Linked DNA regions of Sus scrofa. The protein of the gene in region 1 binds, or shares a complex with, the protein of each later gene. Links are inferred from orthologs where the notes say so. Each region holds a gene or a part of one and is shown in the gene's direction. Other genes may lie near its edges.

Region 1 (4,177 bases):
TGGTCATGAATTCCTTTGGTCCTGCTTAACTGCCCTGTGAGGAAGTGTTAAGACTAGAGCTTGGGTCTTGTCAGGCTAAGGGTAGGTATTGAGTGGAATGGGTAGAGGTAGAACTGATGACAGAAGAGGGCAGGAGGGCATGGGGTTGAGAGAACTATAGGAGTAATATTCACTGGAGTGGCAGTGGGAGACTCCCCATGTCTGCTGACACCAGCTTGAGGTACATTAAAGCAGACTAGAAGCCAAGGCAAGGTTGTGGGTGGGGGACCTATGGTCCCCTGCAGCTATTGATTCCCCTGTCAGTCCAGTGCCCCCTTCTCACAAGCCCTCAAGAGACCCAGCCTGCTTTTCTTCCTGGGCCGGTGCTGTGACCAGTCAGTATGGCCCAGAGGTTAAAATTTCTTGCTTCAGGGCGGTGATCTCCAAACCTGTTTTGTTACATATAAGTATTTTCTGAACATGTATCCCAAGATACATGTATTTAGTGATAAAGTATGACAATGCCTTCTTGAGTAATGCCTTGAAACAGTTACAGTGATTTAACATATATAATGAGATACATAGAATGTAAGATATAATTTTTTTCCAGAAATTTTGTATTACCTCTTGTACCCCACCTTTTTGGCCTCTGCTCCCAAGGGTCATATATTCTGGCTGTGTGAAGTTGGGCAACTTAACTTCTCCAAGTTTCAGTTTTCTCATCTGTAAGGATAATAAAACTATCTGAGAAACATGAGGGTTAAATGAGATAATTCAAGTAAAGCTCTTAATGCTTACAAGAAAAAGTCTTCTCCCCAAACTTGAGTATTAGAATTCAGTCTTTCTAGCTTCTTTCACGATACTGAAAATAGATCCAAGTCCTTTGCACTGGAGATTTTCCACACAAGAGATAGCTAGGGGCAACCAGTAATACCGAATGTGGATAAGTTACACAGGTTAGAAACCTCCATATTTTTCAGAACAATTATACTGGGTTTGGAATTCCTGACTTCCTCTCTTGAGTGGTTCTTGAAGGCCTATTAAAGCAGATTCCTCTCCATCTAAACATGCTAATAAAAATAACTAACATACTGTGTACCAGATGCTGTTCAAAGCACTTTACACGGTAATATTCTCTCAAGTCATTGCAACCATTGATTTAGGTGTGATTTTTATCCCCATTTTGTTAAATAATTTGCCCAAGGTCGTACAGCTAGGAAGTTATGAAACCAGAACTCAAACTTAGATGCGCTGCAACTCTGAAGTAGATCTCTGGAGTCGCAGTTGTAGCCTTGTTGCTGCAATAAGGCTTGAATGAGCAGATAGATGGACAACAGGAAAAACACGGTTGCGCATCGGGGGGCGGGGGGATGTAGACTGGGCACCGGAGATATGCTCATTCCTCATTAGCCCTTAAACGCTCTCTTTCATCTATCAGCTTGGACTGCTCCAAATACTCGGCCACTTCCGGGCCCGGTTGCGCCTCCTAGGGTCCTCGCCGTTCGTTTCGCGTTCAAGAATTTTGTCCCTAGCGCCCGTCCGTCTCCCCGCCCTCGCCGCTGCCATGGCGGCAGCTCCGCCGCTCTCCAAGGCCGAGTATCTGAAGCGTTACTTGTCCGGGGCAGATGCCGGTGTCGACGGGGGCCCTGAATCCGGCCGCAAGCGTCGCAAAAAGCGGCCGAAGACTGGCGGGGCTGGCGGCAAGGGGTGAGTTGGGTCTGGCGGCTTGGGTCCGCGGGGCTGCCCCCCCCCTCCCGCCTTCCCAGCTCCGCCCTCGGCCCGGCTCTTCCTCGACGGGTCGCGGGCTGCCCGGCTTTGACTGCTCGCCCGACCCTGCCTCAGCCCAGAGTCGGCCGGGGCCGCTTCTCGCGCGCTTCGGCAGTAACTTGGGTGTATTCAGGCCAGGCTGTAACTTTCATTACTCTCTTCCCGCTTTTATAGCAGTCCGTCTTCTCTCGCAGAGAATGAATATTATACCCTGAAAGTATTGGTGGAGCGAATTCAAAGGCTCTGGGCTTGGGTATTTAGGGCCCAGAACCTGTCTGGGGCGGGGGGGGGGGGGGCGCTTCTCCAATCCTAAGGACTCCCGTCCTGAGTTGGAAACCTGGTGCTCATTTCCTGTTATTCTTACTACTACCACTACTACTACCACCACCAAGTAACATTTGTACAGTTCTTGTCATGTGCCAGGCACCGTTCTGAGTCCTTTAGATATACATGAATTTATTTAAGCTTCATAACGCTACCATGAAGTAGATGTTGTTGTTAACCCCATTTGTCAAACAAGGAAAATTACGTGGCCCAGCGTGCTGGGTTGAATAGTGCCTCTTCTCTCCAATTTATGACCACCCAGGACCTCAGAGTATGACATTAGAAATAGGGTCTGGTGTTCCTGTCAGTGGCTCAGCGGTAACGAACTGGCTAAGATCCATGAAATTGTGGGTTCGATCCCTGGCCCCGCTCAGTGGGTTAAGGATCCAGCGTTGCCATGAGCGGTGGTGTAGGTCGCAGACGCTGCTCGGATCCTGCCTGGCTGTGGCATTGGCGGGCTACAGCTCCCATTCGACCCCTAGCCTGGGAACCTCCATATGCTGTAGGTGCGGCCCTAAAAAGACAAAAAGAAGAAAAAAAAAAAAGAAGAAATAGGGTCTTTGTAGATGTAATTAGTTAAGATGAGGTCATAGTGAATTAGGATGGGCGCTAAGTCCAATATGACTGATGTCCTTTTAAGAAGAGGAAAATTTGGATACAAAAACAGGCTTTGAGGGAAAATTACTGTGTGAAGATGGAGGCTGAGACTGGACTGGATTCATATGCCACTAGGAGCTACCAGATACTGGATGAGTCAAGGAAAGATCTTCCCCTAGAGCCTTCCTGGCAGGCGTTGCCTTGCAGATACCTTGATTTCAGACTTGAAGCCTCCGGAGCTGTGAGAGAATACATTTCTGTTGTTTTAAGCCACCCAGTTTTGTGGTACTTTATTAGGCAGCTCTAGGAAACTACCCAGTAAAGTCAGATAGCTACAAGGGACTAATCCATTTCCTTTCCTGATTTGGTTGTCCCGTTATTCTTCCTTTATGTCTTCCAGCCCCCTCTGACTTGTGTGGATTCCTTGGAGGAAGTGCCATGTAGTGAAATTAGCTTGAGCTTTGCAGCGACACTGATCAATATTTAAGTCCTAGCTGTGCCACTTTCTGGGCTAAGCCTCAATTTCTTCATATTTAAAATGAGAGTAGTAGTGAATGGTATCATTTATATTAAATGATTGTGATTAATGATCTTGGCTTTTCAAATAACTGTTTACATCATGGCAGTTATTTTTATTATTTGGACTCATCCATAGCTTATCTATGGAACAAAATTTATTGAATATTCTCTATGCTAAGGTGTTGAGGGGTGCAGGATATCCCTGTAAATAAGAGAGGCATAGTCCCTATTCTGATGGAACTTATAGTTCAATGGGAATACAGCCGTTAAGCAACTAATTACACAACTTGTTGATTTATTTCCTTTTTGATAAATGAAGTAGAAATATTCCAAGAATGTCTAGCAGGGGTTCTTAGTTGGGGATGGTAAGGGAAATAGTCAAGGAAGGTATGCTCAAGGAAGTCATATATATGCTAGGATTTTAAGAATGAATAGGAGTTTCCCAGTAAAGAATGAGAAGAGTAGGTCAGGCAGAGAGAAGGAATTGAGTTTGTGAAACTGATATGGGAAAGAGTTTGGCTCATTCTAGACAGCAGAAGATGACCAGTGAGTAGGGAACCGAGAAGGCAGTGGTATAAGATGAAGTTGGCCATACTGGCAAAGAATGGACCATAAGATCTTGTAGGATTTTGAGCTTTAGCCTAAAACCAATAGATAGATGTTTGTTGGCTGTTAACCAAGAATGATTCTTCTCTTTTGATCTTTTTATTTTCCACATTTAGTATGCGGATTGTGGATGATGACGTGAGCTGGTCATCTATCTCCACCACTAAACTGGAAAAGGAGGAAGAGGAAGATGATGGAGATTTGCCTGTGGTATGTATCTTTTTATTTTTTTGACCGAGCAAGGGGCATGCATGAGAAAGTCCTAGGCCAAGGATCGAACCCATATCACAGCAGTGAATTGCTGAGTCCTTAACCACTAGGCTACCAGGGAACTCCTCTATCTTTTGAGGCTGTGAGGACTTTGAAGTGTAAGCCTCTCAATCTC
Region 2 (3,521 bases), on another chromosome or scaffold:
TTCATAGAGTTGTACCTGGTTTTATAGTCCAAGGGGGAGATCCTACTGGCACAGGGACTGGTGGAGAGTCTATTTATGGGGCTCCATTCAAGGTGAGAGTGAATTTTTATTATTATTTATTTTTAAGTCAGCCTGGGTTGCTTAATTGAAAATGATTATGCCACACAAGAAGAAAATGCATTTCATGTTCGTGCACAAAATCAATTTTATCACATATTTAAGATTATATAGTATAAGAGGGGGACTTACCCCATCAAGCATTCTTTCTAAGTTTTCTTATCACAACCTTTTACCCTAGATTAAATTCAGGTGGAGTTAAAGGTGGTAGCGAATAAAATATGTCAGACAAAAGACCATATAACATATTTCCTGATATTTGACTGTATCTGATCTCTGTAGCTCTGTATATATATATTTTTTAGAACATTGCACATGCCATCCTTTTTTTATTTTTATTTTTTTGGTTCTTAAGGCCACACCTGCAGCATATGGAGGTTCCCAGGCTAGAGGTCACATTGGAGCTGTGGCCGCAGGCCTACGCTATTGCCATAGCAATTCCAGATCCAAGCTGCACCTGCAACCTACACCACAGCTCACAGCAACACTGGATCCTTAACCTACTGAGCGAGGTCAGGGATTGAACCCTCATCCTCATGGATACTAGTTGGATTCATTTCCACTGTACCATGATGGGAACTGCCATGCCATACTATTTTAAAACATTTTATTTAACACCATATTATCTGCTTGAAATGCTATAACAGAGTACCTCTGACTGGGTGGCTTAACCAATAGGAATTTATTTCTCACAGTTCTGGAGGCTTGGGAGGTCCAAGATCAAGGTGCTGGCATTCAGTTCCTGTGAAGATTCTCTTCTTGGCTTGCAAATGGCTGCCTTGCTGTGTCTCAAACGGTGAAGGGAGAGATTTCTGCTGACTCTTCCTCTTCCTATAAGGGCAGCAGCCCTAATGGATTAGGACTTCACCCTTAGGAAGTCACTTAACCTTTTTCATCTCCTTACAGGCTCTATCGCCAGTTCAGTCATATTGGGAGTTAGAGCTTCAACATAGGAATTTTGTGGGGGACACAATTTAGACCATAGCTGAATTCATTCTAAATTGTACATGGTACATCTTTGTAGCACAACATTTCTTTCATAGCAAGAGATCACAAGGAAAACAGAAGGAAGAAACAACATAGAAAATATTAGAAAAGAGTGTGAGAGATAATCAAGAATAGGCCAGTGCTTTGTTAACTGCCAACATAGATCTAGAAAGAAAAAGAATTAATGTCATAGTTAAGATATTAAGATTAAGAGTGAGTTCAAGTAAAAGCTAAAGCTAGGTTATTTTTTAATCTGATGGCAGTGGTATTATCTGAATGAATAAACATCAGTACCTCATAAAATATGTGAAATTTTGAAAACTTCACATTGATACTAATGGGATAGAGTATCTGGAGTTTCCTTTAATTTTATACTGGGTTGCTTTATGACTCTTGAAAACTACTTGAACTGTTTGCTTTAATTTTCATATGATAGTGGCATGAAAAATATAGGAAATGCTTTTTTAAAAAAAGTCCTAAATGTTACTGTTAGAGTATTCTGTATTTTACAAAATTGAGATTTCTCATTATAGAGCCTCCATACAGTAGGAAACATTCTTTTATTTTGTTGTTTGGTGTGACAGAATAGCTCTTTGTGACAGTTCCTTTCTAAATTGATATTTTTTTGCTTGTTATGATTAGGTAATAAAGTTATCTTTGTAAATTTTTCAATAAGTTTATTTTTTTTGGTCTTTTGAGGGCCACGCCATGACATATGGAAGTTCCCAGGCTGGGGGTTGAATTGGAGCTGCAGCTGCTAGCCTAAGCCATAGCAATGCGGGATCTGAGCTGTGTCTCTGGTCTACACCACAGCTCAAGGCATCTCCGGATCCCACCGAGCAGGGCCAGGGGTTGAACCCACATCCTCATGAATACTAATTGGATTCGTTACTGCTTAGCCACAACGGGAACTCCCCAATAAGTTCCTTTTTAATAGAATGTACAAGAGTTAAGACCCTTTGAATTCAGATCTCTTGAGAAGAATTTATGAAGGAAAAGAACTTCTCTTCTGAAAAACATTGATTACATAACATGGCTGTATTAGACATGAGTCTAGTATGAGATCTTGATAGAAATGTTATTAACTAAGAGACTAATATGTAGCATTATAGCAAGAAAACCACCTTAGAATGACTTGCTTCTGCTGTTTTGTAAACTGACAAATGGAAACCTGTGCCAATTCAAAGATTCAACTTAGAATTTTCAAACACAGTAAAATGCGTAACACAACCATGCTGGATTCCTTGAGTGAGAAAAGTAAGAAAACAATTGTTTCATGACATTTAGATCAAGGTTAGGAAGGGAATAGTTGAAGACTCTGCAGTGACTCAAAACTAGTTATTCTGGAGAGAAATAGAAGGTTCTGAAAGCTTAGATGACTTTGAGGGATGGCAGAATAGGGGAGTGAGTCTTAGTAATCCATTCCCTTTCAGTAAAGAGGAAGCTTTCTTCAAAATAGGCTAAATTTGTGGCTGAGTATATTTAGAAGATACTTACAAGCTAGTGAAGTCAAGTTTGATAGAACTGAAGGAACTGTAGATATTAGATTTTGTTATATATGAAAATCAGTTAACTTAAACATTTGTGATTAAAAGTTGTATGGGACTTTGCTTGTTAGCTGAATATGAAGGGTCTTATAACCAAGATCATTCACTAAATCTTTTTTTGTTCTTTTTTTTTTTTTTAAATGCTTCAGGATGAATTCCACTCACGGTTGCGTTTTAATCGGAGAGGACTGGTTGCCATGGCAAATGCTGGTCCTCATGATAACGGCAGCCAGTTTTTCTTTACATTGGGTCGAGCAGATGAACTTAACAATAAGCATACCATCTTTGGAAAGGTTTGTGTCCAGTTATCTCAGGCTTCTATGATATATATGATCAACTTATCTAAAGTTGCCTTCATAAATATATTCCCTGAGATATTTATTTATTATTTCTAAAAATGATGGAATGCTATGTATTTCTGTTGTGTGTTTTAAGTCATTCGTTTTAACTTTGAATTTTTCTTTTTTTCTAAAATCATATTAATGGTATTATGAGCTCCTATGTCACTCATCTGATACTATTTTTACATTTTTAGAAACACACCTAGGTAATAACATTTAGTAGTTAAAGTTTTATTTTGTTAATGATGGATTCCCAGTGGAGGTTATGTTAACTTTAAAAGTTTTTACCTGGACTATTACTTTGAATAGTACCCTATTTAGTCCTTTTCACATTTAACATCATATCAGAGAATGTCATTTCCATAGAATTTTCAGTAGCTTTCTTTAAGAGGGATTCTGAAGATTTTATTTTCCTCCTTCTTCATAAATATATTCCCACATGTTTAAGTCGCAGGCATGCAGACATCATTAGTGTATTGGCTCCCTCTACTGGTTCAATAAAAATGGTTTCACTTTGTCCTAGGCAGCT

Evidence for each region. Proteins that work in one complex are often made in the same cells at the same time.
Region 2: BUD13 (region 1) and CWC27 share a complex: the UniProt entries of both Homo sapiens proteins name them as parts of the activated spliceosome. The link is inferred for Sus scrofa from reciprocal best matches to the Homo sapiens genes BUD13 and CWC27.

Annotation. Positions count from the first base shown.
Region 1 is NC_010451.4:44,162,601-44,166,777, reverse strand, and holds the start of BUD13 (BUD13 homolog), read left to right. Parts: upstream 1-1,376; 5' UTR 1,377-1,543; coding exon 1,544-1,686; intron 1,687-3,908; coding exon 3,909-4,002; intron 4,003-4,177. UniProt on the Homo sapiens protein: Involved in pre-mRNA splicing as component of the activated spliceosome. As a component of the minor spliceosome, involved in the splicing of U12-type introns in pre-mRNAs.
Region 2 is NC_010458.4:43,363,446-43,366,966, forward strand, and holds part of CWC27 (peptidyl-prolyl cis-trans isomerase CWC27 homolog), read left to right. Parts: coding exon 1-92; intron 93-2,800; coding exon 2,801-2,944; intron 2,945-3,521. UniProt on the Homo sapiens protein: As part of the spliceosome, plays a role in pre-mRNA splicing. Probable inactive PPIase with no peptidyl-prolyl cis-trans isomerase activity. As a component of the minor spliceosome, involved in the splicing of U12-type introns in pre-mRNAs.